2 linked regions of the Drosophila melanogaster genome follow. The protein of the gene in region 2 interacts with the protein of the main gene of each other region in a pairwise test. Each region holds a gene or a part of one and is shown on either strand. Other genes may lie near its edges.

Region 1 (18,615 bases), on a different chromosome or scaffold from region 2:
TGTGTGTGTGTGGGGTAGTCCCTAAAAGTATGCTGTGTAAATGGAAGACGGCTGTCTCATAAATCTGCCCGCGCATGTGGACAAATGTCCAAACAATTCGCACACAACAAATTCATTTGCCACCCAAATGGGCGGTGGGGCGTGGCCATGCCGCTGGCATCATTTGTATTCCATAATTACTTATTTACACACACAGAGAGAGAGCACAGGAATTAATAAAATCGGTGGGCGTTCCACAAATCCCTTTCGACCGCAAGGCAAATCGGAGAAATCAATTGATTTCAGGACGAAAAGGTAAAATTCAGGGGTACCGAATCATTTTATATTCAAAAATAATGTGCTGAAATCGTTAATACATTTGATGTGCTTTAATATCGAATACATTGTTTTATCTGTCTGTTCTTATGAAACATGCCAAGTGAAATAATTTCGAAAGGTGTCTAAAAGTATGCCATACAAAATGGCATTTCGGCATTGATTGAGTCAGATTTAAACTCGTCGCATGTTTTTTTTTATTGAGGACCTAAGTGACTTTAGGCGTCTTTTCGTTTCAATTTGGGTTCCATACCATACCTTTTGTGTGCCGTAGCGAAAAAAGCAGCAGGATGAAGTCGACGGGTCAACAGTTTCCCAACGACAGTGCGTGGGTAAGACTCAGTGGTGCCGGTGGCGGCGGAGGTCAGAGGTTAGAGCAAGACGACAGCCTCAAGTTAATTGCTTAATAGTCGAGACATCAATAAATCAAAGAAAAATGCGCGTAAGCATAAAGCAAAAAGCGGCGTCGACAACAAAGAGAAATGGCTGTTTGGGTTGGGAGCTTTTGGGGACGAGGTGTTTTGCGGCTGCCTGCGCAAATGCAAACAGACTGATTGATGGCGGCAAGTGATTTATTTATGTTAATGCGAAGGACTCACGGGAGGGTGAGACATGGTGAGGCGACATGGCATCAAAGCCAACGAGTGCTGACAGGACCCTCAATGGAGCATTGGGATCCACGAAAATATCATTTTCATATTCCAAGCTTACTTCATGGTATCCATCGAATTGGTCGCATATCATTTCTAAGTTCAACATAAACTCTTTCTGAAGAGTTGTAAAGAGTTGCATTAACAAATTAATAAACGCATACTCTTACTATTATTATCATTATATACACTCGATATTGCAAATCAATATTGTAATACAATTCAAGCCGAATATCTAAATTGTAAATTCATAAAGCTCATACAAAATATAGCCATTCTTACCTTCGTAATTGTACAAGAAAATCACCAAAAACTTTGAAAAAGTTAAGCTTTCCGATCTGAATTTTTCAAAAGTCCGATCGACGAAAACCAAAAACGATAGAAATTAAATCCGTATAACTGAAAAATATTTACCTCATACCAAAACAAAACCATCATCAAACTTGTATACCATGCTAATTAACATTTTTGGGAAAGTTTAAACCCGTTTTAGTACTTCGATAGACGATAACCAAAATCGATAAGGTTGTCCATGCTCGGCGGGAAAATGGCCAAGATGCCAGCTCGCAGTTGGGAGTGGGTCCGAAGCGGGGCTTATCGTTGCGTAGGACTCCCGAACACCCACATCCCCATCCACATCCACATCCACATCCACATCCACATCCACATCCAAATCCAAATCCAAATCCAAACCCACTCCATTCCACTTCGCATTCCCATTCCGCGGGCACTTTGGCATTTTCACCTGCGACATTTGTCGCTGTACGTGATTCGACCGACGATTAATCAACTGCGTGGGCGCCGGCGGGAATGTGGGATGAACTCCGATAACAGGAGCACACGCACGATTTCGATGACGATGTTTGCCTGATTCGAAGAGGATTCGCAGTCCGCATTAAAATTAACAACCTGTATTCCGCGCAAAAACCAAAACAAAACCAAGGAATTTATTCACTATTTTCAAGCAATTGTTCATCTTTTTTTTTTTTGGCTTTAACAACAATTTGTAGGCTCGCTATTTAAGGTGCATATTTGATTTGTTAATTCGACGAGCTTGATCCAAATGCCCGATAAAACAGATGAGGGAGGAGTAGGGGGGTGGTGCTGTGTCAGCCAGGCGACAAGAAAGACATCAAATGAATTTTAATACGCGCCTGGGGAGCCGTCAATAATTAATCGAACAAATGGGCAGCGGCGAGTCCGAAGTTTTTGGATATCCCCACCTCATCTTGGCTGCTTTATTGGCGGCGCTTCAATAATTGATTATGGCGAAATGGACGGCGGATATGGTGCAAGTTCATTCAATAATAATTCCAGATTCGCCAGCGACAACTTTGTCGTGTTGGTGGCGCCTCCACGACTGCCGAAGAACCCCAACCCCCCACACCCCCCCAAAAAATCGCTGCAAAATAAGATTGGGGCAGAATGGGCATGAATAAACATCAATAGGAATTTTATTGTGAAAATATTTGTCGCTGCCGGTACGGTAGGTCAACAACAACAACAACAGCAGCAACAAACAGATGACGAATTCTACACCGAAAGAAAAAAGTACAATGAAGTACAAACAAATAAATAAATATAAATATAAATATCTCTGTAGGTAGCATATTCTAAAAACCATTTTGGCTTTTATTTAAGTTTTGCAGTTTACCGTATTACAGTTAAAATCCAACCACTGTCATGCTGATTTTCTTTATATTTATCCGCAAGTATGGGGAAACCATGTGCGAAGTTTTTCTTCGAGTGTACAGTTTCCAGCCTGCCAATGACCGCAGAAATACAAAAAAAAACAGCGAATGGAAGGAGAAATTATAGAGCAAACGAAAGTCATGGGAATTTATTGCTGTGCTGTGAGCAAACAAAAAGAAAGAAATATCATACAAACAGTTCACTTTAATAGCTTACACTAGCAAATAATTCCCCAAAGCCATAAATATGTACATATGTACATATGTATGTATGTACATTTATGTTGAACTTTTGTACATATTTACATTAAGCTATTTTCTTTGCTGATTGCTTTATCTTTAAAATTGTAAAAGAAATGGAAGGCATTTAGTCTATTTGGTTTAGGCATAAGTAAAAACTGGCAATCTGCTATTAATTATATAAATATTTTGTTAAGTTAGATGTTTGTTGTAAACAAATGCTTGAGAAGACATTATTCCAGATTCACTTGCGACTTTTCCGCCAATGAAAAGCGAGTGAAAATCGCACTTTTCCAGACGATCTCCTATTTGTCATGTGCTTTTTGCCTTTAGCTTGACCTTTTTTTTTGTTTTTTGTTTTTGTGGCGACGCGTGAACGATGACGTATACGCTCCGTACGCCCGGCGGCAATAAAATTGATGTCACGTTTTTATGACGCCGTTGATGAGTCGTTATCTTTGATTTCAGCACGCAGGCTCGGTCTCCATTTCCGTCTTCTTGCCACGCTTCGCCATTATCCTGTTCCACGCTTGTTTTGCGTCCGAGAGGCGCAAGTTTACAAAGCCGCATCGCCCACACACACACACACACACCCACAGGATACCCGCAAACACACACACACAAAAGCAGGACACGCACACCCACGCAAACAGCGACAATTGCGTCAGGTGGCCGCGGTCTTGTGGTCATCATTCTTCGCCTTTGCTTCGCTCCGCTTTTGTTGCCACTTTTTTGTTGTCCTGTTTTTAATTTACGCCCAGTTCAATTTGCGCTTTTTGTTTTATCTCCCGCTCATAATTTATTGTCTTTGTCTTCTCTCCTCGTTTTGCTGGCATTTGCAAATTGAAAACAAGAAGTGAGCCTCAAGCCGATCGTTGCGACTTAGGGTTACTTGGTACCTTTGGCAGAACAAATACGACAAGAGTTAAGATTAATGTGGTATATCTGCTATCCATATGTGTCCTTAAATACTTGAGCAGTTTATTTTTTAGATACTTGAAAAAATGGAATTTTTTCAACTTTTTTGAAGCAAGTTCGTCTGTCCAGGGTATCTCTCTGTTCATGCGAATACTCGTACAATTCACCCACATTGATCCACGTGTAATCGGCATAAACAGATGCGCGACCTTTGTCGTTGGCAAACAACAGCAACGATTCCTGCCGCTTTTTGGAAACAGTTTCGTTTTTTACACGTTGTTTGTGCTTTTGCTCGCGAGCATGCTTTACGAGCACAGCAGACAACTATAAAACGCAGCCGCAGCATCAGCGAAGATAAAGAAAGCAAGTTCGAGCGAAAAAATCACTACATGGCGGTTGATTGCCCTTTTTCGTTAAAGAACTAACTTCGTAATTTAATTATTTCAAAAGGGATGTAATGAAATAAGCGCTTTATCGCTACTTCTATATTTTTTTAATACATTTAAAAATCAAGCGCAAAAAGCCTTTTGGTGGCTTTTAATCATATTTAAACCTTTGGTTTTATACAAAAAACTGACAATTTAATAAATTCCCAGAAGGATTCTACTATAATTGAATCGGGCAGCACAGACTGGCGTTTCGTGTAATAAAACTTGCCAGCAATTATGGCGTGCCTAATGCAAATTGTAATTAATTCCTGAAATGCAAATTGGAACAATGTATGTATATATATATATGCTTGCATAGGTAATGGCCAACATGGATACATACATATGTATGCATATGTATTAATGTATAAATATACATACAAAGTAATTTAATCACAATTATATGCGATGGCCGGGTTTTAGTGGCAACTGCCTGGTATTACTATTCATAAATGAAAATGACTTAAATACTCCCAATGGAGCGGTGCATTTTTCAGCTGCTTTTTTGTGGCGAAAAAAAAAAACAATGCAGCCATTCATGCGCTCAGTGCATTCGGTAAATTTAACTCAATTGATTGAATTACAATCAAATTGTCATTTTCATTATATGCAAAAATGGTATACATTTTGGTTCATGTTAAAAATGCTATTTAGTAACTGCCGTCATGTAATTTTGTAGTTTTTATTTATTGGTTTTATAATTTCTACAAATGCCTAATATTAAACCAATAGAAAATTATTGAAAACATTAAAATATTTACTTCTGTGTAATGAGGCAAACGCCCAATCAATTTTATAACCATTTTTTTCTCATTAAAAATGTGTCTGCTGTATTTATTTTGCATGCTGATTATTTCCATGCAATCGGTTTTTAGTTTACATATGAATTTTAAGGTGATATTCGTTTAGATATTTGTTTTGATGGTGAATCCTATATCAGGGGCACAAAATAAGAGGCACACAGTGTCCTCGTTCGTTACGGGCATATCCTCTCGCACAATGGCATCCCGATGGGTTTTTCCAGCACCGCTGACTGAACTCCTGGCAGAAGGACTCGCATCGGCAGATCGGGTTGCTCAGACGGCACTCGTAGGGCCCACAACTTCCGGATCCGCCCAGGTCGGCCCGTATGGCTGCCACCATTAGAAGAAGAAGAAATCGAACTGCCATCCAACGAATTTGCATTATGACCGCATTCTGATTAAGCCAGCTGGCTCTTTATATACATACCTTATACACAACAACAGTTGTCAGGTGTTGCAATAAAAACACAATATACAATAAAAAACTTTAAGTGAAATCGAATAAGGCGCCCATTGCCAGTGCAACTCTGTATCAACCGATACAGTATCGATAAGGTATCGATATGGCATCGATACATCGATGTTACAACAGAGTGGCAATTTACCATTGAATTTGATTAACGGTACTTGTGAAACAATGAAAATTGGGACAGTAAAGTTTAAAATAATTTTATTCAAATATATTTTTAGCTCGTGCGAAGTTTTAGCAATTTTATATTGTTCGCCACTTTAAAGATTAAACTCTAACCGCAAACAACCGGAGGTTGCAGTTAAAAACATGAGAAAACGTTTGAGTATAATATCTTGACAGTCGAATAAAAGATCTCAATAATAGATCAAGACGCCTAGTTATCCTGATCAAGAATATGTGTACTTTATGAAGTCGGAAGCGCTTTTCAACGAATCTAGTATACCCTTTAATTCCAAGAATAATTAATAATGTTTAAATAACAATATTTATTTCAAACAGGTTTATGTCTCGGATTGGAATTTGACACTGTGGTTCGTGCCTTTGAATGGATCCCTTCAAGTCTTGTTCTGTAAAGGGATTTTCTCAAAAACTGTTTCTGTAAATTAAGCGCATGTCTCATTTTTAAGATAATCTCTTTTGATGAATACACTGAGAATCAAGAAAACGTTCATTGGAAGCTCACTTGTTTTTGAATCTACTGTTTCCCAGCCGTCGATAAGTCACTATTGCTTTTTTGGCACCCATCGATAAGCAGATGTTGTTAAACATACGATTTAACGGAACGGTATGAAACAGGCGGCAATCGGAACGAAAGTAAATGGGAAAAAAGCGCAAACATGCGCACACACTTTCACGCACACTTGACTCCACTGTGCGAGCGCGTGTGTGTGTGTGTTATTTTTTGAGAAAAGCAAAGAGAGCAAGTGAGAACCAACACCGATGCAAATCATTTTGTTGGCTTTACGGTTAGTTTTTCGTGAAAATTCCATTTAATTTGTGCATTGCAACCGAACTTCGCGACGAAGGCGAGCACGATTAGTGCAATAAGCTAGTGTTTTTTCTTTGGAAAAGTGCATAGAAAAACAACAAAAAGTCATAAGCTTTTCGACTGTGCCTTTGTGTACGTGTGTGTGGCAATACACACGTAATGTGCGCATGTGTGTGCGCAGTGTGCTGGTGTGTGCCATTACCTTGAAAACAAAATAATCTGCCCTAAAGAAAAATGCATTTGTGTACATAATTTCGTTGTTTTTTTTTGTTTGTCCCATCGACGTTCGGTCGATTTTACATGATTTTACACACACATGCACACATTTAACATAGTGTTGTTCGCTGTTAAATCAGCAGTTCGGCCCTGTTAAGCGCACGGGCCAGTGTGACCGTTCTTCTTAAAAATACCGAACCAGTATGACTGCGCTGCGACCGTGCAGGGTCTCGTATTGTCATTAGAAAATCTCACATATTCATTTTTCATTTACAAATAAAAATAGCCAGCACGCAGCCTACAAATTAGCAGCGCACAAAATAAGTTAGTGTGAAAAAGGGAATAGAAGCTGTGCACCAAGTGCAGCGACCAAACACAACTGGCCACGCCACTGCGAGGGCAGCAATAATAACAACTGGCGAAAAGGGCTGCGCAAAAACGTAAACAAAAGCAAGTGGAAAACGAGGCAAAGGAAAACGAAAAGACAGAAACAAACGCAAATGCAAATGCAAAAGTAAAATACTGGAAGTAAACGCTGGAAAACAAAGCCTCGAAAGCTGAAAACAAAGAGGAACGGAAGTGGTGCGGGAGGCGCAAGAGGAACAGGAAGAGGAAGAGAGCAGAAGGAGCACCAGCAGCTGAAGCAGAAGCAGTAACGCAAAACAGAAACCGAAAAATGGACTCGGACAATGACAATGATTTCTGCGATAATGTCGATTCGGGCAACGTCTCCTCGGGCGACGACGGCGATGATGACTTTGGCATGGAGGTGGACCTGCCAAGCTCCGCGGACCGCCAGATGGACCAAGATGACTACCAGTACAAGGTGCTCACCACCGATGAGATTGTGCAACACCAGCGCGAGATCATCGACGAAGCCAATCTGCTGCTGAAGGTATGGCCAAGCGCAAGTACAGTGAACACCCGCTAGTATAACTATCCATCCGCAACTTAACTATCAGTCCTAGGGCAGCCATAGAGGTACATTCTTCACCCAGTCCAGACAACAAAGATAGGCAAGCAGTCACCTTTGATTGCTCTACAGTCAGGCCTTCCTAGCAGGAACATGTTTGTTTCGACTTTCGTTAGCGCTGCGATTTGCAGTGAAAGCCAAATGGCTTGACATAGTTTAGTGGCGTATAGCTGCCAAGAATATCTGATCTGTTCGCCGCTCGGAGGCATCACTGTGTGCAGCACAGTGCATTTGGGCATGTGTATCCGTGAATCGCTTTCCCCACCCCTCGCTCTTGCCGCCCACCGCCCTGCCTGGGATCTGGGATAAGCTGAAGGTCGTCCGCTGATGACTGCCAGTGCCAGTGAAATCGGAACACAAGCACCCAGGCGCACCCAAGGTCGCCAGATCCGCATCCCATATCCGCATCAGCAGCTGACTTGCCCGAAGTTCACTAGCACAGTTTTCACTTTCCCAGATTTCGGGGGATTCCCTTAAAATGGTATTATAGATTCCATTTCAAATGAATACATTAGGATCAATGTAGAATCCATGTAATACTTTTTTGTTTCATTGACATTTAAACATCAGAAAATCTTTCATTGCAATAATAAGCGAAATTCACTTAGCTTGAGTGTTAACTTTCAGTATTGATACAGATCATGTATGTAGCTATCTAATTGTTAGTTAAACAAAGCACCTTTGAGTAACTCTTCCCTCTAAAATTGAATTGTACATACATACGTACTTTTTCTCGATTTCCAAACAAATCGATTAGTTATTAGGAATGCCAAGAAATGTTATATATCCTAAAAATTATACTGTTTAGATAGACCAATTGCCAGTGGTAGTTATAGTGGTTCCACATCACAACCCCATCCACGATTATACATAGGTACTGCTGATCATACTGCTGCTGATCGCAAATGATTTGGCATTGATTTCGATGCCAACTGGGATGCAGCCCCCGCTCTTTTACCCCATATATGTACATATGTGCCATCATCCACTGACATTCGATTTGTTTTGTTGTCTATGGCCACAGCTACCCACACCCACCACACGGATACTGCTAAATCACTTCAAGTGGGACAAGGAGAAGCTATTGGAGAAGTACTTCGACGACAACACTGATGAGTTCTTCAAATGCGCACATGTCATAAATCCTTTCAACGCCACCGAAGCGATCAAACAAAAGGTGAGCCCAGTGCTAAGGCTCCATTTGATGTCTCATCTAATGCGTTTCCCTTCATTTTCAGACCTCACGCAGTCAGTGCGAAGAGTGCGAAATATGCTTTTCACAGCTCCCGCCAGATGTAAGTTGTCATGGAGAAGGGATGAGTAACTCCGTGACCTAATTGCGGTGTAGAATATATTTTCCCGCTGATTAACCACGAATATTTTGGGGGGAAACATGATTTTTTAACTGGTCAATGGTGCCTTATCTGATGACCTGATAATAATGTTAGGGCGTTGCTTTGCTATACAAATCTAAAATATTCTAAAAAGACTTGATTTGTATTTTATCAATTATTTTTATTGGCTTACGTTATCACTAATTTACTTGCTTGATTTACAATTGTTGATTGTTAGCCTGAATTTGGTTATGTAAGCAGTTCAGCAGTAATTCGCTGGAATCCAACTGTCTTGTGGAATCAAACATTTAATAATGTAGTTTAAAAAGTAAAATTTAGTATCACGTTTTAAAAGAGTAGATTGCAATGGGCAACTTTGGGTTATAACAGCAAAGTAAACTTAAATATATTATAGACAAGCTAACTAACAAATACTCAGAGCGTAAAACACCTATGAAAAGTTTAAAATTACCATACGCTATGTAGGTGGTTTTAATTTGCTGTATGCTTCATCATTAAGCTCTCATAGTTCGCGTGATCTTTAAGTATATATTATAGAATACGATTATAATATATTTATAATATTGTATACTCTTTTGCTCCACAAGCAACAACTTCAAGAATATCTACAATGTATACTAATAGCTACTTTCTCTTCGTTCCATTTAGTCCATGGCCGGGCTGGAATGCGGACACCGATTCTGCATGCCCTGTTGGCACGAGTATCTGTCAACGAAGATCGTGGCGGAGGGTCTGGGCCAGACCATTTCGTGCGCGGCGCACGGCTGTGATATCCTGGTGGACGACGTGACCGTCGCCAACCTAGTGACGGACGCACGGGTGCGGGTCAAGTACCAGCAGCTGATCACCAATAGCTTTGTGGAGTGCAACCAGCTGCTGCGCTGGTGTCCGTCCGTCGACTGCACCTATGCGGTGAAGGTGCCGTACGCGGAGCCACGTCGCGTCCATTGCAAATGCGGCCATGTCTTCTGCTTTGCCTGCGGCGAGAACTGGCACGATCCGGTCAAGTGCCGTTGGCTAAAGAAGTGGATCAAGAAGTGTGACGACGACTCGGAGACGTCCAACTGGATCGCGGCCAATACCAAAGAGTGTCCCAGGTGCAGCGTGACCATCGAGAAGGACGGCGGCTGCAACCACATGGTGTGCAAGAACCAGAACTGCAAAAACGAGTTCTGCTGGGTGTGCCTCGGTTCTTGGGAGCCGCACGGCTCCTCCTGGTACAACTGCAATCGCTATGACGAGGACGAGGCCAAGACGGCCCGCGATGCTCAGGAGAAGCTGCGCTCCTCGCTGGCCAGGTGGGTCATTCGACTGTGAACGATGTCACAGGATAGGAACCCCTTTTGTTTTTTTTTTTTTTTAAGTGATACTTGTTGTGTATTATTTTCGCAGTTCGCTGATAATGACGGTTAGCGGTTTATTTTATCTGCTAATTTCTTTTAAGAAAAGATAACGATTGAAAGCCGTAGAAAGGAATGAATCAGCTATAATTCGTAATTAAATTTTATCGCTGATTAAACCTGTAGAATTAGAAATGCTAAAACTAATCAAGGAAACACGAAAGTATCTAGGCAGAAATGTGAAAGTCATTATGGAATAAAACTCAACTGATATATTATCTTCTGCCAAATCTACAGATATCTCCACTACTACAATCGCTACATGAACCACATGCAGTCGATGAAGTTTGAGAACAAATTGTATGCATCTGTGAAGCAAAAGATGGAGGAGATGCAACAGCACAACATGTCATGGATTGAGGTAAGTGGTGAAAACTCGTGACCATAACAATGCGAATTCAGCACACTCATTGCAATTGCAGGTGCAGTTTCTGAAAAAGGCTGTCGACATACTTTGCCAGTGCCGTCAGACTCTCATGTACACGTACGTGTTTGCATATTACTTGAAAAAGAACAATCAATCCATGATATTCGAGGATAATCAAAAGGACTTGGAGTCGGCAACCGAGATGTTGTCGGAGTATTTGGAACGTGATATTACATCCGAGAATTTGGCTGATATTAAGCAGAAAGTGCAAGATAAATACAGGTGAGCGAGCGAGCCATGTCCGTGTCCCCAACATACAAACGACTCATTATCCAAACATTGATTGGTCTCTCCATTCGATTAGGTATTGTGAAAAGCGGTGCTCTGTTCTGCTGAAGCACGTGCACGAGGGGTACGACAAGGAGTGGTGGGAGTACACAGAATGACGCGAGTCATGGCTGGATAACTAAGCTAAGCCGAGCGGCAGGCAATCGGAATGTAGTGCCCGCTAAGCGCCACCCCATCCAGCATCCGAAATGCAGCAAACACTGTCCCCATCCACATACCGACCAACATCCGCCAAGCCACGCAACACACACACACACACACACACACACACTCACGCACGCACGCACTCACGCAGAAATCGAAGCCGAAGGAGTTGAACAGAAGTTAAGGATAATGCAGAAGCTACACAGAAACGCAAGAGAAAGGAGACTCGAAATTCCCAGAAACGCAGGATAAATCCCCATACAAGAGTTGCAAAGCAAAATTGAAGCCATTTCAGAACACAGAAGCCAGAAGGAAATCACCATAAAATCGTAATATATATAAATATATATATTGAATTATATATATTTTTCTTCGTACTAAGCAAGAGCAGCAGCAGGACACGAAGAAGGACAGGATCAAATAGACACTACCAAACACATACTCACACACTCCCACACACACACACACACACACACAGAACCAGTCACAAGGCTCAGAAGCAGAATAGATATATAGTAAATAATCAACAGTTAAAAACTTATTTGATGTTAACCGATTGCAAAGAAATCTTCATGTTATAAAAACCTAATGAAAAACGAAACAAAATGCAAAAATTAGTGAATTCAAAGCTACACGCATGATGAGAAGCCAACAATAGAACCTAAACTTATGTGAAATAAACAAACTACACATGTAAGCAGAAACACTCGCCCAGCTTCCTTTCCACCTGCCCAACTTCCTTCGACCAAAGACAATAGAATAACAAGATGCGTAACGCAACGCGATTTTTTAGCACACATTTTTTTGGCAATGGATCTAGAAGGTGGCTCCAGGCTCTCTCGAATTTTTGAGAGAGAGCGAGAGAGTGGAGAGCGCTACAGCAAATAGCTCTTTTCTACGTATACAGTGATAGCAGACAATTGTATGTGTGCACACGTATGCTTATGCATTGTAAATTTGACCCCCTTCTTAGACTTTAAATCTTTATTATTTTTGATCAATTGGCACCATGCTAAAAATTCTTGTTTTGCATTGCCTTAACGTTATTATTATTTGAAAATAGATTAGAAATAGCCAAATCTATGTACATATTATCACAAAATAAATTTCAAAAATTACTTTATTAGAATATTTGTCATTAGAGTATTCAGCTTGCGGCGTGTGAAAAATTAAATTTTTGTAAAATTTATGTTTTAAATTACGGTAGTTAATATAATTTGCTTTGTATTGAGTATATTTATTAAGTCATTTGACTTAATATGATGTATGTAAATGTACCATTTCAATTATTTAAAATGCACATTAGATTCAGTTGTTTTTCAGTTTTTGTTTTTTTTTTTTTTTTGTATTCCAATTTGATATTTTTTCATCATATTGCTAGTGCCAAACCAATGTAAGGCCGTTGCGCATCTTGTTATTCTAGTGTCTTTGCTTCGACCTTCTACGTCCCTTTTTTTTAACCCGTTTAGGCTTGAGGTTAGCGTTATTGTTCTTTAGTTTCAATCTCAGACCCAGTATGATTTTCGATTTCGAATTTCTTCCAGTTTGTTAAGCCTTTATTTACAAAAAAAAAAAAACAAAAAAGGAAAATGATTTCTTCTTTTTTTTCCGTTGGTTTTCTGTTCAATAAACAATTGTGCCTAGCATATACGGAATGAAAATGTTTGCAATTCGATCGGATAAGCCTTGTTTTCGTGGCGGGAGCAGAGCTACGCCCCCATTCTTAGTTCATATGTAATGGCCTCTCGAATGTTGCAAATCCTTAATGGAGATCAGTGCTCCCAGCACAAATCGAAGAACATGCCGATGCCGGAAACACACACACTGAGTTATATACGAGTAGACGAGGAATGTATAGTTGATGGGGAGGGAGGCGGTGTCCTTGGACCCTTGCAGAGTCCTCCTCCTCGAATCGTTGTATATAAGAGTACAGTTTTGTCCATGGTTTCCTAGCCCGCCCACAAACACACACACACACACACACACACAAAATGACGCACGTATGTATGTACATAACGTGCGGCAACATAACTGGACATGCCACGCCCCCGCTACGAAGGCGTCGGCCCTTAATCTTGTTTCCGTTTTAAGCATTCTCTTTATATTCTAAATACCAATAAATGAAGAAACAATTATATTTATAAACAAACTGAATCCAAATGGAAAACTCATTGACATTAAATTGATGTAAAAAGTTAAAAGTTGTTCGAATTGAAAGAAAAGGAAAAAATTACCATAATGTGGAATACAAAAAGATATATAAAAAAAAGCTGTAAAAATTATGAGAAACTATGTATGTATAATTAAGAAGAAATGTTGCAAAAATTAGTGAAAATAAAAATTTAAAAAAATCTATACAACTGTTTTGATTACTGTAGCAGCAGTATATACACATATGTACATATTTATAGTATACCCAATACTTTCGTGCAATACTTTTCACTGGGCCATATCGCGCGGGTCACTTTCCAGGAATTCATACACTTTTATACATATTTGTTTTTTTTTTTTTACTTTTTCTGGGGCGAAAAAACAAACGTATAAGAATGGTTCACAATCTTCTTTTCGAGATCAGTTGAAGTCGGCACAGCAGCACTACAATACATGTAGCAATGAAGAGTGAGACATTTTTGGTCAAAACATAGTACGAATATTTATTTATTTATTCGCAGTTATCGGTTGTGTAACCTTTTTGGTCATTTGCGCATGTGCGTTTGGATTGCCCCAGATAGCAAGTATTTTGTGGGCGAATAAGTATCCTCCTGGTTATGGCCCAGTAGTCACCGGAATAAAGGCAGTCATCGCCCTCACTCCATGCACCCCCGAGCGAACTCCCACATCCTTAAGTTTCAGATCTAGTGACGAATGCTCCGATAGGTGCCCCGGTCATTGTGCTAGCTGCAATTCCACCTGTATCTTTGGCCACCGATGCGTCTGCGGAGCTGGTATCTACTGCACATGGAATCCCGATTCATCTAAGGTTCAGCCAGGGGCCAGAATCCCAGAAATATGCGAGCCCATTGAGAATTTCATTGAACGCGATTAAGGTACACCCTTATCTATATCATAAATTAAGTGAAATTGAATGCGTATAAAATGTAAAACTATTGAATAATAATTCTGTTTCACCTCCTTTGTAATAGTAGATATACATACATATATATTATTTGATTTTATTTGAAACTTCACTCGTCGCTAAATAATCTGCTACGTGGAGAGTGTCGACTATTAGATACCCGTTACTCAGCTAATGCGGTTGTTACCAAGACTTCACACGAGCTCCACCTAGCGGCAGTTATAATAACATACAAATACAAAACCCCATATATATACACTTGAACAAAATCGACAAACAAAACAAAAACAACAAAATCGGCGATGTACATACATACATATGTACATATGTACTTCTAGATAGGTTTATTTTTAACTCACGCACAGTGTTATGGAAATGGGTCTCATGTAGTTCAGATCAGTGGTAAAAAAAACCATTCTAACACCAAGCAGCTGAATATATGTGAAAATTTATTACGTAGGTGTTTACAATTATTTATTGTTACAGAACGCACAGTTACACAGTTGATTTTCTGTTCACAATGTCATATCCATGATCCTTCTTCACCAGTACACCTGTAAAATATAGATGATATATAATATAAAAAAAGAAATGACTGCCTAGATCCTCAGGTGTAACTTCCTTCTCGCTCACAAATAATCCAATCCACATGTACAGCAGAGGCGCGATTGCTAGCAACTTTTGTTCCGCACGAAAATGTTTCTAATGTAGTTATTATATGGCTTTTAGATTTCTTTGTTTTTCTGCTTAAAAAAAAACAATGTCGATCTAGATAAAAGTTTCAGATTTCCAGCTGTTTCGGGATTATGATCTATTTACCTTTTGCTTTATAATATTGGAAACTTTATGAATTTCATTGCGAAATGTAAGTCACAGAAACTAGGACATAATTAATCTTAATACTGATAAGCAATTTCACATAAATGTCTCCGTATTAATTACTAAGAATAGATTAAATTTCACTTTCTTGAGAACTGAACTCTTCGGTCACGTGATTGATAGAAAAATGTTCAAATTTGTTATGCATGTAATTTTTGGTATATTTTGTATGCCATCCTTATGTTTTTAGTCTTTATTATAAGCCCATTAGCAGACCTAAAGTTTTATTTTTTATACATTTTAAATTCAAGTTAATAAATTACCGTATATCCAGACCATGCCTTAAGTCCTTTTACTTTACAGATTTTAGATTCGCTTGAAGTTGAAGGATAATTTTGGCCACTTTGCGTTTGAAATGCTGAACAAATCCTTCGATATTATTTGATTCCATCAAACGTTGGTAATAATTGCATTAGGCGGCAATCTCTACGGCTTCTCTGCGGCAATCTGGGCACCACGATGATGGAACAATGGCTGGCTGTTGCTTCTATGGCCTCTTACAATAGCCGCTGTCACACGCACAAGAGTCTTAAGTCTAATCTTGTGCAGTGGCCAGCAGCTGCAATAAGCACCTTTCGGTTCCGGACGTGGTCGGTGAATCACTACCATTGCTGGTCGGTCGCCTGGCACACTAATCATCATTGGCGGCGATGGACGGGATATTACCCGTACAGTTCAACGGACATTGCCGAACCGATTGCTGAATATGTGATGATGATGTGCCCACGACATATGGTCGAAATTCCAGGCTAAAACGCGGCCACTCCTGCCGCGTTTTTGAATAATATATAGCAATGTGTGTATATATATTGTATATAAATTTTATGGGTCTCTCGATGGGCTATCGATTTTCAATTGGAAAATGCACTTTCCATTTTTGGTGTGCGATTTGATATCCTCGTCACTAAATCACGGCAAAACAAAATATAAAAAAAAAAAAACGCAATTGTGTTTATGGAGTGATACTATTATCCTGCGGGAATAGCACTTTAAAAAAATATATATTGTAGATAGTTTCGCTGACGAGCAGGATCCTTTGGCTGGCCGCTGGTTGTCGCTTAATTAACGCTATTTAACTGAGACATTGTTCGGTGCGGCGTTCACCTTTTATAGTCGCAGGTGGTCAGAACATCCCTCTTGCTTTAGCTTGTTTAAGTACCTTGCCTGTACGTGTGTTGGCCGAAGACTTACATGTGTGTGTGGTATTATTAGGGGCGCATTAGTGTGTGTCCCACTCGCAAAAGGCTGCCTACTTTTCAGCGCTGCCCCCGCTGTGGGTGTGGGGGGTTTGGTGCTAAAGCGAAACGACAACAAACAGAAGAGGAATGAATCCCAAAAAATCGAAAGCCAGACATTGAGGCAGGTTTCCTTTACTCTATGTGCCACGATACATATGTATGTGTGTGGATGTATACTCGGGGTTCTTGACCAGAAGCCAAAGCGCCGCTGTGCGAAATATGATCCGAATGGAGATATGCAACTGCAACAGCAACTGCAATTGCCACTGCAACTTGCAACTGCCACAATCAGTGGTGGTGGTGGGCTGGCCACCTGGGGGCGTCACAAAAATTAAATAACATTTTTCCCGGCGGCTGAGTGGTGGCACTTGTATGGCATCTCCGGGTTTCGACTGGGGTTTTGGGCTTGGAATGCTTCGCTGGTCAGCGCCCGTACAAAAGTGTGCCTGTGTTTAGTGGGGAATCTCAACAAGGTAACGGTAAAGGTAATGGTGGTAATGGTGGCTTAGCGCGTATCAAGTGACAGATTGTCTGCGGCAAGGAGGCCGGCCGATCAGTCGATTCGCTCGCCGTCTTGGGAAACCATAATTTCCGACAGCCATTCACAATTGTCCGTTTGCCGATGGTTTTCTAATTTGAAAATAATGATTGATATTTCAGGAAAGGATCAACGAATTTTGGTTTTCCAGGACCACAATATCCGTTTAATTTGAATGTGCTGTAAGTAGATTTTAAAATAGTTGTAATTTAGAGAATCTTATAGATAGAAATGAAGGTTATAATAAGAGGAAAAGTATTTCAAAACATGACACTATTATGGCTTATCTTAAAATCAGACAAAAATTGAAACTCTGAAATCTATTTTCATTTTGTGATTTGAAAATAGTATGTATGTTCCAAAATGAAATGTATATGTAACTTAAGAACATGTGATATTTTATGAGAAAGAGTGAGAGATAATTGTTAAGGAACAAGTACATCAGTAAATCCAAATAAAAATTATTAGAAATCTAGAGTAAAGTTAAAGATTTACATATTTCTAACCAAATGGAACAGGTGCTGAAAGCAAGTTCATTCTCTACGCTGCCTAATCACAATTTTGCGAAACTTTTAATCAATTAGACATAAATTTTTGATAGTAAATTGCCTTGCTTTTCAAGGCAGTTCCACCTGGAGGGAATTGAAATATGTATGCAATTATATTTTTTTTTGTTTTAAGGCCGCTGTCTATAAGTTTAAAGTGTAATGCAAGGGATAATGGGAGCTCTAATCACTTGACCCAACCAATTACATATGCAATCCATTTAGCCAAACGTCTTTTATTTTGGCTGGCTGTCAAAGTTGATTTCAATCAATATTCATGAAATAACGTTGTAATTAAATGGCCCACATATACATGTACTTTTATAAAAATTTCTGTTAGCGCGTCACACGTGTCCTTTGCAGAAAGAGAGGGGTATAGGCGATGGGAGAGGGGCGGGTAAGTGTGGCAAGGGGAGGAAAATTCGCGACCTTCGCTGCTACGTCACAGTGCTTCAAGATAATCGAGAGCGAAAAGAAATGGCGGAAAAATCCTTGCGAAGGGAAAATGCAAATGGAACGTTGTGGGGGGAGTGCGTCTAAAAATAGCAGCCCCCGAAAATCTAGGACACTTCGCCCCGCCACCGTAACGTTGCAGACGCCCCTTTCGCTGTTGCGGCACTGAGAGAAATGGTGCACCAATTCAATGGGGTATAATAAAAATGGCAAATTGAGAAATCAAAAGGGTTGAGTTTACTTACAGTTAACTGGTCTGCAAACGACTTGCTGTGAAATAGTTAATTTGAAATAGTTAATTAATTTCAGATATTATTCAGATATGTACTATTTGATTGCGAGTAATTATGTATTATTAAAGCATACTTTTAGACAGCTTAGTGCGTGAGAATCGTTTCATTGCGAATCTTATCCATGGAAAACTATTATTTGAAAACTAAAGATTCTATTTTAATTGTATTCTTTTTTCTCGCTGTGTGGCCTGCCTTTTTCACTTCTCGCTTTCACTTTCTCCAGGCACTTCCCCATCGCCTCCGCTCAACTCGCAGCCGCCTCGTTTCATCTTCGGAGGGACTTCG
Region 2 (13,959 bases):
GAAAAAACAAGGGGGGTTTGCTTGTTAAAAGTCGATTATTTTGATTTTACAACTCATCAATCACCCTTTAAAGTATACTACAATTTTATTCATCGCTGAATTGGCGCTCAGCCTGACTCATTTTTAACTGGCACAAAATAGCATAAATATGTAAGTACAGTAGCCGCTCGATAACGTAAACTTTTAGATAGCGCAAGCTACTGATTAGCATTTTATAAAACACTTGCACCAAACATAGAAACTGAACATAAGCGATTCTACCACATTTTAAGCTAGAGAGTTTAAAAGTTACTCATATATCTGAACGCGATATAAAGATATAATGCCTCGAATAAACACTGTAGATAGGCTAATGGCATATCGGTTTTGGGTTTCGAAGCCCGGAGACAGAGCAACGGAGTACTCGAACTTGACATAAAGCTCTCTTATCTGGACGACAGTTATCAGAGCGACTCGCTGGCCCAATACCTAATCAAAGTCACACAGGCGTACATATACCCCTATACATATATGAATCAAATTAGATGCGGCCAGGGGGGGTTTGAGGCGACATCGGGTGCTCTGAACTGGGTTTTCGGGGCGATATACCCCCAAGTTGTGCACACAAAGGTGCGGACGGGGGGTTGCGAGTTGGCGGCGGGTCGCAAAAGACTTTCGTTTTCATTCACGAAAACATGCAACACTTGGAGGAGTCCGCGGAGGAGCCGCCACATACTTATTTATATTTGATTTGAAAAGTGCCCTCCAGAGAGCTTTTCGCTGCCCGTCGCCTTGCTCACGGAATTGTGAATGAATGCGGGAGAAACTGAGAGAGCGGCACCAGTGCTAAAGAGCGTTTCGTAAGAGAGAAAGCGGAGAAAGTTCGCATGGCGGAGAGAGAAAGAGCTTTTGGATGTTCAGCAGCGTTGCCAGCTGCCAGCAGAAGGCCACCTTTACCGTGTCCATTTCCATTTCAACTTCCCTATCCATATCCATATCCATATCCATGTCAGTGGGCACAGCCATAGCCGAAGCCAAAGCCAAAGCCAAGCAATAGTTAAAGCCAAAGCAATAACCATAGCTGTAACCGTGGCCACATCCATGACAGCACTGCGAGAAACATGGACTAATAATATTTCGACTCTCTTAAAAAAAGGGCTCAAACAGACAACCTTTAAAATGAAATGATTTATAAAATAAAAAAATAAAAAATTTGCAAAAAATTGATATTGAAATAAGTAAAAATAAATAAATTAATTAACAATAACGATGTTAATGTAACCAAAGATTGGTTCATCTGTTATAGTATATCTTGAAAATAAAGCTAACTAGGTAAAATAATTACGTATTTAAAATAATTGCGCATTTAATATTCTATACTTTACAGTCCAATAATACCAATCGATTCTCTCGGTGTATGAATGCATGAGTGTTTCAGGAGGTGCTTACCATTTGGCCCTGTTGTCAGGATGTGGTTGGCAGTGGATGGGTATTGGCACAGGTAGTTGTTTTAATGACCGAACGGTTGAGTCAAGGCAGCGCGGTAACGAGAAAGAAATTGATTTCGTGTCAGAGGATTCGAGCGGTGCACAAATAGGCCACTCGGTGGTGGCCTCCATACTCACCAGGAGCAGGAGCAGCAGCAGCACCAGCAGAAGCAGCAAGGCTTCTGCGACTGCGGACGCTGAAACGTGGTCGCGTTCGACTCCTGCAGCACGTTGGACGTGGAGCCGAGGATTCCCACGCTGCCGCCCACGGTGGGCGATACTCCGCCCAGGCTGCCGCCACCTCCGACGACGCCCCCGCCGCCACCGTTCCCATTGCCATTCCCATTGTTGCCACTATTGTTGGCGGCACTTTGCTGTGAGGATGCAGTCATGCCGCGCAATCGACAGCCACTGGGCAGCTCGGAAACGGTGCAGGACATGCCGCTACCTGCAATAAAGGAACAAATTGAAACGTTAATGAACACTGTGCACGGGATGGAGTGGGGGGAAAGTGTGCTGACAGTTGGGCGAATCACAGTCACACTGCAAAAAATAGCTCTATTAGTCATCTAGAAAGAATTGTTAACCAAGGTGCCCGGAACTTAACTACTTAATTGTCTTGGCTGGTGAGTGTTTGTCTTTTTGGTTTGGATCCCATTAATTTGACAAGATGTCATTCAAAAGATACTGAAACTGATTCATTATATTATAAATATTATTATAAATATTATATTTATATTATAAACATTATATTCATAAATATGTTATTTGAATCTAGTCAAAACACCTTTTAAATAAAATTGTAATATTTGTTCTTTGCATTTATCACAAAGAAACTTTATATGAAATTAAAGATTAAATAGTAAAGAAAACTGTTGAATTATTAAAACATTGATTGTTTGTATATTTAATTTACCAAAACTATCAAAATATAATAAATACATATTCGGGAAAGTGTAATCTGGAGGAGTAGGTCCAACTGCTCCCGATTCGCCTCGTTTTCCGTGTGCACTTACCTGCCCTTTGAAAGTTGAGGTTGACGCTGGCGGAGCTGACGGAGATGGTGGAGGTGGAGATGGTGATGGGTGTTGGGTGGTGAGGTGGTGCTGCCCCAGCTGGCGGACCGCCCACTGCCACTGACCTACCCACTCACCCGCTCGCTTTGGTGCTCTTTTCTTTGCTTCGGCTTCTCTTTCTCGGCTTCCTTGGGGATGTGGGGTATGCAGGGAGACCGTTACGTATTTATGTTTTTGCTAATAATTTTTTATCGAAAGTTCCCACACACTCTCTCTCTCTCTCTCTCTCTCCCTGTGGCGCTCTGTCCTCTCTTTCTCGCTCTGCCCACAGCTGCTGCTCTTGATTTTAGTTTTCGTTTTGTTTTATGTTTTTTTTCCTTCTCCTTAGCTTTTCCTTGGGCGATTTTACAAGCCGAAAAATTCCAGAAATTCTTCAAGATTTTTTCGATAACCTTTTCGAGTAGTAGTTATCCTTATCGTAGGTTCCTGACTTCAAACCTTCGCGTGGGTTTGGTTTCCGTTTTTTTTTCTAGGGGGTCTAGCGTTTCTTTAGAGAGTTGACGGTGCGCGGGTGGCATTTACATATTCCGCTCCGGATTTACGGGCGAAAATCTAGCGATTCAATGGCCCCGTGCACCAAGGGGCACATTTCACAAGCGTTACGAAATTTATGAGCAGCTGGAGCTGCCACCGTAGTTGTTGTTCTGGCCTTTATTTATTTCTTGTGCTAGTCATTACACTGCCATTGTATATGTACATATATATGTAGGCGCCGTTGTGTGCGTGCGTCTGTGCGTGTGTGCGTGAGGAGGGGGTGGGCTGGAGTACCACCACATTGACACGCAACTTGGCTAAGTGGAGCGCATTGTTTGGCCCGTTGGGCGGATGGGGCGTATGCGTGATTTTCTCCACTTGTGCTGATGTTGCTGCAACAGCTGCAACATGTAGGCATCAGCAGCTAATTGCACTTGTTTGTAACTCGAAACGCCAGCGATTTTTGGTCGTTGCACTTATCACAAATCAGCTGCTTGGGTTCTTTTGTTGACCATTGCCTTTAGCCTGGCTATCTATGTATATTATATGTATATTTTGTTTTATTTTCTTGTTGTTGAACCAGCGCTTCCGTTCAGATTTTCACTCAAACACCACACACACGTTTATATTTTCTTTGAGGATTTTTGGGCGAATGGGTGGGCGGGAAAAGGGGGTCGCGTTTGTATGTATGTATGTTTTTGAGGAGCAGCGACGAGTACATACGAATTTTTGCCACTAGAATCGGAATCGAAATGTGTATATTTGTATATATTTTTCTTTTTCGCCCCGAAATTGTTTTGCTTGTGCTTCGATTTTTTTTTTGTGAATTTCTTTACGATTTTTTTCGTTGACTGTTGAGAATGTGTGTGTGTGTATGAATACGAATTGGGGGAAACTGCAATTTTCGTGGTCACTGGACTGCCTGGACTGGCATTTTCACATTTTCACATTTCGCCCTCGGCCATATTTTATTATATTCCTTCGTGCTCGGTGCCCCCGCAATGGCAGCCAATTCCCATTCGATTTCTGCGCTCTGCGATTTTGGCTGCTCAGCACCAGCAGCACCCAGAAGCTGAAGCCAAAATCCTCGACGGGTCGATTCGAGCGTTTCGAGATTCTCTCCGCTCGGGCAAAGGCAGGCGACTGATTTCCAAGCAGTGCCGTGTCGCCAGCTCTTGATTTTGATTTTCCAATGCGCGCGCTCCTCCCGAGGAACGCAAGATAACGGCGAGTGGAAAGTGGGCAGCCGGGGGAGGGCTCCATAGGTGGACTGAGCGAAAAGCTTTGTGGAATTGCTATACAGTTAGAATTCCTGGTACACACAGGAGAGGGACTGACAGGCGGAGAGCGCGAGAGAACGGACGGTAAGACATGTGCGCGAGTCGGAAAAAGAGAATAAAGCTCGGGACTCTTCGCCCCACTGGAATTTACCGCAAAGCTTTGGGGCCAGAACTTATAAACTTTCGGCAGGGTTGCACTTACATTTTGATTTTGGGATCCCGTTGATTTCGAAAACCGTTGTTTTTAAAATGTTCGAATGAAATGGTTATATGAAATACTTTACTTTTCATAAAAATTAATATATTTTTTATTTACTATTGAAATTTCACAAAACTTTCGGAAACTAAAAGAAACTTTCTTGGGGTTTGTACACCTAAATTACGTGTATAGTCGGATGGTACTGTCCGCGCCCGTGGAGAAGACCCATGGCTGCACCGGATGCCAGTTAACATCCAGCACACCAAACTCATCGCGTTTCTCGTGTGTTTGCAGCTTCTTGAGAGGCACAATCAAAGGGTTTTGCAGCAGGTCACTAAAAAAAAGTTTGGAGAAATTCGTAATTAACCTTGGGCAATGTTGATTTATAGCCACTTACTTATAGACCATGCCATGGGAGACGATCACAGCCTGGTCATCGCTGCCGGAAGCAAAGAGCGGATATCGAAGATGGAAAGCAACACTGCGAACTGCATTGCGATGGAGTCGCATGGTCTGGTAGGGCTTTGTGGACAGATCCAAATCGAACCAGAGCATCTTTTTGTCATAGGTGGACACCAGCAGATTGTCGCCCTTGGGATGAATAGACATGCCCGATATCCATTTGGAGTTGGTCAGCAGCTTCTTGACAAGCTCTTGTTTGACCAGATCATAAATGCGAATGTTGTGTTGCGTCTGTAAAGAAAAAACAGAATTCAATAAGACATACTAACAAAAGAAAATTAACCCACTTACCGCCACAAAGAAGCAGGGCTTCACCGGATGGAAGAGCACGAATTGGATGAGACCCTTGCTCTTGGAGAATGGAATCTGTGAGCGCCGCTTGGACAACTGATGAATTAAAGCCGAGCGGTTAGCACCTTCGGGCATCACTGTGGCCAAGTAGTCACCACGACCGTGCCAGGTCACCTGTCGGATGGGTTTGAAGTGGGTAATCACTACGCGGACGCCCTTCTCCTGCTCATCAGCTTCCGCATTTGACCATTGCACCGCCGTCTTGATGCGTTCACTTTCAATGACATCCTGACTGGGCGCCTCAGCCAAGAGATCGTCGGTCTTCTTCACCAGCACCTTATCGCCCACTTTAGGATTGACGAGCAGCAAGCGATTGCCAGTGGCCACCGCAATAATAGACAGCTTGGGATTTGGACACCAAGCCACACAGCGTACCACTTCGTCGGTCTCGATTGTGCGAATGCAACGACCTGTTGCAATTTCCCAAACTGTGAGGTGAGATGGATTAGTAAGAAGATATCTAAAAGGTTGTCAATTAAATTAGTACTTACTCTTGACGGTTTTATCATCCGAACCGGAGACGAGGTACTCTCCCTTGGGCTCCACACTAACAGACCGCACCAGATCGGTGTGGCCACGGTAAACCATACTCTCCACCGTGGGAAAGGGTTGCAGGTCACGCGGCGAGGGCAACTTGGGGATAAGGTACTCGGCATCGATGTTCAGCTTGACACGCTTTGCACGGGGACACAGGTAAAGATCCAGGCAACGAAGGAAACGCTCCCGAAGGTATCTCGAGTATGCGGGCACCTCCCTCAGCGACTTGAACTTCTGTGGCATGAAGTGCAGCTTGCGCTTGTGTGGCTCGTCCTTTAGTTTAAGCCACTCCTTGGTCTCCTTGGCATCGAAAAGATACTCTGGCGGTGGATTGTAGGACTCGGCATGACCGGGAAGGTCGCGTTTGGGCGCAGAGACTGGATCGTGGATGCGGCGCATGTGTTCCCGACTGGTGTCCGTTTCCCACAGCATGTAGAACTTGGGACCGCGCTTGGCCTGCTTCTCGCGTTCCACTTCCTCAGTGGTCTTCATCCAGCCCATTTTGAGGGCGTGCACCATGCGAGAGACGCGCTTTTTCTCGGAAACTGAGGGCAGGAAAGAGCGTTTGTGGTCGGGTACGTTCTTGATGGGCATCTTTTCCACCTCCGATGTGAACCATTCGATCCAGGGCTCATACTCTTCGTGATCCTTGTTGGGTATGCGACCCGAAACGATGCGCTTGATCAGAGCAATGTCCTCGTCTGTTAGGCGCACATCCTGACCGGTAAGTGGATCCTTGACGGTACGCCAAAAGTCTGGGTCCTCGATCTTACGCAGGAACTCATCAATTTGATCTCCTTGTGGTGGTTTAATAATCTTCTTGGCATCCCAGTCGTAACCGATGTGCTTGTATTCGTCGTACCAGTGCATGGGTATGTTGCCTACAGTATTTCTTATGTCCTCCTCGTCGGAGGTATCTGAATCCTGATACTCAGGCTTCGAGCTATCCCGTTTCGGGAGCTCTGCTGTAAGGGCTTTTTTAGACGCGGCACCGCTTCCACTGGGCTTATCGTCTGTTTGCTTTGACTTGGAATCCTTCTCCTCATCTTCCACTTCCTCTCCATCAGTGCTTTCCTCCTCTTCATTATCCTCTTCATCACTACTTTCTTCATCTTCCTCAGCTGATGAAGATTGCTTTCTGCCCAAGTAGTTGCCCTCCTCATCGCTCTCGAACTGCAGTTCCTCACTGGAATCCGAGTGGTATTCCTGGTCTATGCCCTCGTCATCTGTTGAATCTTCGCCGGGATCTTTTACAGCTTGCAGCAGGTCCTTAAAGAGCACAAACACACATGCAGGTCATTTTGAAATGACTTTTTATATCACTGTCAATGGGTCTTACCTCCTCCTCCTCCTCGTTTTCGGAAGCCTCGGAACTGGCCACCACTTCATTTGTGGGTTCCGAATCCTTTCCTCTGCGTTTCAGAGCTAGTTTTTTGGTCATTTTGAGGTAAAAACAAAACTAACGCGGCGCACGTGTTGCAGTCAGCGATAGCGATGGGAATCGCCTGAAACGGTTGCCTATCGATTGGCTTGCCGCCACTGCTGCTGGTAATCGGTTACAAATCCATTTGGAAACAGCAACCCTTTTATTTTCATTTGTTACCTCTCTTAAAATATACATCTATAATAAATACTTTCCAATAAAGATTTATTTAGTATTAAACATAATATTACAGCCGTTGCAAGTTGCAAAATCAAGACAAAGTTATACATGACCAATGTATATGTATACCAATTGCAGCGCCGTTGCGAGCAAGTCTGCAAAATACCCTAACGCTAATTGGAAGATTCTTCAACGAACCATTTTCAGCGAAATTCGCAGACTTACGTGCGGATTTTTTTGGGCCAGTGCGAAAACCAAAGGTGACACCCCGCAACTGGAGCACTAGGAGCTCACCAACAACGAAACACCGGCGGCTGAACGAGAGTATTACATATCCGGAAGACAAAACCATCGATTTGCAGCTCACACAAGGGCAAACAAAAGTGCACACGCACACATTGGCAAGGTGGCCCCCTCCTCTTTCCGTTCCACACACACCTACGCACACACCAGCATAAGAGAACCCACACATAGACATCACGATGACTGCGCCGCGACGCCTGCGAAAAGAATTGAGCGATTTGCAGGGCAACGCACTGAAGTCCTTCCGGGACATTAAGGCGGACGATGACAACCTGCTGCGCTGGACGGGATTGATTGTCCCGGACAATCCGCCGTACAACAAGGGCGCCTTCCGCATCGAGATCAACTTTCCGGCGGAGTATCCTTTCAAGCCGCCCAAGATTAACTTTAAGACACGCATCTACCATCCAAACATCGATGAGAAGGGCCAGGTGTGCTTGCCCATTATCAGTACGGAGAACTGGAAACCGGCCACACGCACCGACCAGGTCGTGCAGGCACTGGTGGACTTAATCAACGACCCTGAGCCGGAGCATCCGCTGCGGGCGGAGTTGGCCGAGGAGTTTCTTAAGGATCGCAAAAAATTCGTGAAAAACGCCGAGGACTACACCAAGAAGCACAGCGAAAAACGTCCGGCCGACTAGCGGATAGGCGGAGGTAGAGCTGGAGGAGGTGGGCCAGTCCACAACCCATGTGTACCCTTACCCCTTAGTCTTGTGATTTTTCTGTTAGTTATTTAATTTTCATTCTTGATCCATGAAAAACTATCCTCAGAAAACATTTAAGCAGATATTTCCCCGGCAGAGTACCTAGTTTTGTAAAAGTAGCACTGTAATTTGATGCAAGTGAGAAATACATGTTCGTTATGTTAAAATACAGCTGCCGACTCTTGGATGGAACCGACATCTGAGTTGGATGTCGGAGCTACGGGCATGGGAAATGATTCCTCGCCCAACATGCTACGGAAGCAGGTCATTACAATGCTGTTGTTGTGCTGAATGAGGGCCTTGCTGAACTGGTTCTTCTGCAGCTCCTTAATGTCCAGCAGGCTGTGAATGGCCCCCGCCTGCTCGTCCTTAAGAAGTTCCAGCACCTGTTCCAAGGCACTGTTAGCCGTATCTTTTAGCTTACTCAACGTGAGAGTTTGCGCTTGATTGCTATTAAAACAACAATCCTGATAAACGCTCTCTATGAGAAATAAGAGCAGCGACGCCGCGTAATGGGTGAGAAACAGGAACTTGTGGAAGACAATGCTGTCGGGCTTCAATTTCTTTACTTCTTCCAGGAGATCAATGAAAAAGCGCTGCTGGGCGGTGTGGAATGCCTCGTCTTCTGTTGGTGGCAGGTAGCATAGTGTCTTGCTTTCCAACTGGCACTTTGGCGCAGACTGCCAGACAGGGTCGAGTTCAAATGTGTCCAGGATGCGAAGGCGCAGAATGAGTATTGGTTCCGAGGCAAACATGCTGCTTTGCAGGCTCTGAACAGGTGCTCCTCGTGAAATGTGAAGATTCAAGGGTGCCGTTCTGTTCTTAACGTATGAATACGGTGTTCTATTGTTAAGACACTTCTCCAGTTGATTAAATTCCCGACGCAAGCAGTAAATCTGCTTGAGAAGGTCACCGTGTTTCAAGGACTCCCTTTCTGTGTAGGAACCGCCATAGACAGGCACTTGGAATCCCAGAGCCTTACTGGTGGCCTCCTTGTCCACGATGCACAGGCTATCTTCTAATGGCTTCACTTTGTATAGACTGTAGTAGGTGTTCGCGACAAGACTGCGCAGGTGATGAAGATGTCTCAGATAATGACGATCATTGGACTCGTAGGCATAGATACTGCCCTCGATGGCATCCGTTTGAAGCTTCATGTACATACGGCAGGCGATCTCGTGCTGCATGAGAAAGTCGTGGGGAATCTGGAACTTGGCAAACAGTGGCATTACCAATGTGTCATTCGGCTGAGCAAGCTTGCTCTTTATCTCCTCTAGCAAACGAGGCAAGTCGGGATGGTCCTTGTTGTAGTTCAGGCAGATAACATACACTTCCGAATTTCCCCGCTTGGAAGTAGCCGGCTTAAAGATGTGTACCTCCTCAAAGATGCAATTGAGTGTATAAAGTAGAGATACACTGCAAGCCTCGAAGAGGGTAAACATCTTCACTAGGAAGTTACCGCCACTTGAGAGAATTCTTAAGGCACTGAGTACTTCAGCAAAGAAAAGGCGAACCACTATCTCTTCCTGGCAATCAGGCTGTGCGGCACAATCGATGGAACCATCGGCAGTGACAAGATCCACCTGTCCCTGGAACTCCACCTCACAACGTTCCACCAGGTGGTCAATGTTGGCCACATCTAGTAGATTTCCAGTTAGATCTTTGTGAAAGAACCAGTTGTCCAGCGTGTGGACGATGAACCTGTCATCGCTGATCATCTGGTTTATAGCATTGCCTTCATAGTACGGATTCAAAGTAGTTGAGCGCCAGCGCCATTTAATCTGGAAAAAAGAGTTCCGTTCTCGTATCTCTCAAGGATGACTTGATAACTCACCTCATCCTTTTCATATTTGCTATGAAGGTAATGATTCAGAGATGCTATGAAGGCACCGGGTGCCTCGCAGAGATGCATACTGTTGACAGCCGGCTTCGTGACCAATGGATAACGATGCAGGCACTCGAACAACTTGCACCATGCCACAGTTACAAATTCGGCCTTCGTGTCGTTTTTCAGGCGCCAGGACACCTCGCCAGAAGGGTCACGCCTGTTGGTGTGAGCACTCCATTCCTGCACGCCATAGTCATTGAGTTTGCTTTTAACCGCATTCAGCTGCTCGCGCAGTCCCTGCAGCGCCTCGAACTGGTAGAACTCACTGAAGAGAGCCTGATCCGGTGGCGGCAACTGCCAGGATTTGTTTCCTTTCGGCTTCTGATAGTGGAACTTCTTCTCGAAGAGCTGCTCCACTTCGGAAGGCCGGATGGACTGATAGTCCGTCTGTAAAGTGTGAAATGTAATGACTGACTTGTAGGATGTAGCATCCTTTACTCACCATTGGGTGTGGCTTTCCCTGCGGAGACGAACGAAAGCTCATTCCGGCTAAATTTAAATGCGAGGCGTCAAAAACAAAGCGATCTGCGACACAATAGAGATGGAAAAAGCTCAAAGCGATCCATCGCCTAAATCTTAGCGACGGTAACTAAAAATCGCAAACGTTATCGATTAAGCTATCAAATTTAAATTGATTTTCCGGGCTGCAATGAATAATTATTTTATATCTCTAATGCAATATTATAGCTAATTCGTAGATGCAGAAGATTTGGCTAGACGTTTCCATAGCTTGTATCTGAAGATGAATGGAATAAGAACAAAAGCCATCAAGAATTCCATCTTGTTTAAAAGTTAAAGGTTGAAAAATAACTTCAGCCAATATGTTAAATGCAATTGTTTTTTTTTTTTGCCGCATATTTCTTTTAAAAATGTTTCTTAATTCTAGGTATTTTTCGACTAATTCCCTTTATCAAAAGAACAAAATCGCTATCTCCTGTAGAAATGTAACTTCCTTTCCACCTTCGACGGCGATGATCGTCAAAGGCATTTCCCGTAGATGCCCGATGGTGGAAACGTGGAAACTGATTTCTTTGATTCTATGGAACTATCCATTTAGAAAGCGCACGGCAGGCGACAAATAAGGTGCCTGCAAAGTGTGCGGTTACGAAACTATTGGTCATCATCCGTTAGTGATTCGATTGTGCATACTAATATTTCATTAAAATCTTATTTTATTGATGCGGATAGCCCAAGTACGGAAGTTGGAGAAATTGTCGGAAAGTTACATATACATACATATAAACTTACACTCCCAATCGGAATGTGGTTATGTCTTGGGGTCTCGGAATTTCAGCATCGACCATCGTGGCCAATGGGTTTACTTAATACGCGCATGCCTTGCCGACTTTATGGCCATTTGAAACGTGAGTCGTGTTTTTATGAATAATAATAACGATATTCAAATTATGAGTTTCCAATGCTGACAAAAGAAAAAGGATCGCATTGGCTACCGCAGGGGCATCACTCTTCCCTTGGAACTCGACATCGGTCTTGAGTAACGTTCTCCGCCTTTATATACATATATATATATATATATATATATATGCACATAGCTCCCTCTCATATACAAATAGCAGTCGTAGCATATGTGTACGTACATATAGGTGTAAGTACCCAGGCCGGTATATTTGTGCCCAGTTTGTATATAGAAGAGTCCGGCACGTGACTGTTTTGTATAATCGCGCATAAATATCTGTAATGTAATGCCTATAGATAATGGTTCACAGCGACGGAGCAACAAAGTTCTGTAGTTACTTCGGCTTAATCGTCCCGGCAAGATCTATGTATGTATCTTCGTACTCCTTGGACATCTTCAATAGCTTCGAGCGGAAGTAGCAATCGCTGCGCATGCGCCGTGTTTGGCGTTGAATGGTGGCCATGGCCAATGCATTTTTGGGGCCCCCCGATGGCGAACCGACAAATTCCAATTCCGAAACGACAACGACTGGTACGTGGACACGGCTATTGTTGGCCACAAAATTTTATTTCATTTCATATTTTTCTCAAAAGGGAGTTCATTAATATTCCGGGCAGACGGCGTTGCGCTAAAAAGCGGCTTAGCCTGGCCGGGCACAGCTCCATGTATCTACGTCTCCGGCCCTCCACCCTTTTTTATTCCCCCATTGGCTGGGCTGGCTACCTGTCGCCATGCACAGGTAAGCCTGTACTGGTACAGGTATCACCCCCACACTGCGACGGTGTGCGTGAGCTGGCAACGGACCGCAATCCCCGTTCATTCTCCATGTGTGAGTGTCAAATGCCAACTAATTGAAACTTCTTCAATTGCCGAGGTGTGGTGCTGAGCTCGCCGCTCGGCTTCGGAATCAGTTGCCAATTAGTCTCCACCGCTGACGGATTACACTTGCCATCGTCTGGGAGTCCAGCGCTCCAAGCCCGTCATCTATTCCAACAGCAGCATATACAGTATAATTCGCTTAGCTGCATCGATAGTTAGCTGCATCGGCAAGATATCTGCATTATTTTTCCATTTTTTTGTGTGAATAGAAAATAGAAAATAGAAAAAAAAAAATTAAGTTAGCTGCATTTTTAAGTTACCTGCATCGAGGCATTGTGCAAAGTACTCGAGGCAGCTAAGCGAATTATTCTGTATACACATATGTACGATGTAGGCACACAAAACTTGTTAAGTGCTTTTCAAAACAACAAGCCTTTCATTGATAAAAGCCATTGGATAACAAGCGAGTAATAGACGAGCATTTGTGACCAGTGAGAATGTTTCGGTGAATTGTGAACCAAAACGGTTGGGGTTTCGTCCATGTCGGATCGATCGTATATCAACTCCGTTGGTAAATTGGCAAGATGTCGGCATAGCTGACGTTGAAAAGCGATTTTGAAGAGCGCTATGCTGCATCTAGTCAGTTGTTCAATGGAACAGTCAGCGAGATCGAACAGAACAGTAGTGGAGTTTTAAGCTCCATCGTAATCTCTTTTTTTTGCAGATATATAATCATAAAATATCTGAAGGGATATTAAAACATTTATCGATTGGAATATTCGCAAAATGTGGAACAGTTTTTGCATTTTAAAAAACCGTTTTTCGAATGTTATAAGCAAAAGCAGTAAATTTACGAAGTATTTTTATTTAATAAATATCTTTTAATACAGTATAATTCGCTTAGCTGCCTCGAGTACTTTGCACAATGCCTCGATGCAGGTAACTTAAAAATGCAGCTAACTTAATTTTTTTTTTTTAAGGAAAAATAAAGAATTTATTTCTTTATAACAATGTTAAACATAAAAGGAACTGATAATTTCATTCTTAATGATAAGTAAGATCGACATATAAATTTAAGTGATGGTGAATTGATTAAAACACTTTTTAAAACTAACTTAAAAATAGTCAGTAATTTTTTTTTGCAATACAGCTGAGTTTATATGTAAATTAAACAGCTTGTCTTCCATAGAATTCAAGTTTTGCAAAAACTCATCATTATTGTTTCGCATAAAAATGGACTTTAAAGCCTTAATTGCTGCAAACCCATCCTTAAAAGTAGGACGCTCAGTATCGTCCACATCTTCATCACTATGGCTTTCTTCGTTATCGCTGGTTTTTGCATCTTGAACTAAAGAGCGCACGATTTCATCATCATCT

The links.
Region 1: the proteins of Ubc10 (region 2) and ari-1 interact in a two-hybrid assay, tested with the Drosophila melanogaster proteins (one study listed by BioGRID).

The regions. Positions count from the first base shown.
Region 1 is NC_004354.4:18,125,443-18,144,057, reverse strand, and holds ari-1 (ariadne 1), read left to right. Parts: upstream 1-6,372; 5' UTR 6,373-6,482; exon of another isoform or gene 6,483-6,693; intron 6,694-6,918; exon of another isoform or gene 6,919-7,007; 5' UTR 7,008-7,397; coding exon 7,398-7,616; intron 7,617-8,718; coding exon 8,719-8,871; intron 8,872-8,932; coding exon 8,933-8,989; intron 8,990-9,697; coding exon 9,698-10,347; intron 10,348-10,686; coding exon 10,687-10,810; intron 10,811-10,871; coding exon 10,872-11,098; intron 11,099-11,180; coding exon 11,181-11,262; 3' UTR 11,263-13,666; downstream 13,667-18,615. Other genes in the region: CG43229 (uncharacterized protein), read right to left, coding at 5,179-5,427; CG43133 (uncharacterized protein), read left to right, coding at 13,921-13,927, 13,981-14,354. UniProt on the Drosophila melanogaster protein: Atypical E3 ubiquitin-protein ligase, which catalyzes ubiquitination of target proteins together with ubiquitin-conjugating enzyme E2 Ubc10.
Region 2 is NT_033778.4:17,783,074-17,797,032, reverse strand, and holds Ubc10 (ubiquitin conjugating enzyme 10), read left to right. Parts: upstream 1-7,622; 5' UTR 7,623-7,930; coding exon 7,931-8,395; 3' UTR 8,396-8,619; downstream 8,620-13,959. Other genes in the region: Dhit (double hit), read right to left, coding at 1,429-1,437, 1,605-1,906; CG5033 (uncharacterized protein), read right to left, coding at 4,676-4,829, 4,893-5,188, 5,249-5,736, 5,800-7,114, 7,185-7,286; aft (adrift), read right to left, coding at 8,620-10,239, 10,293-10,733, 10,789-10,830.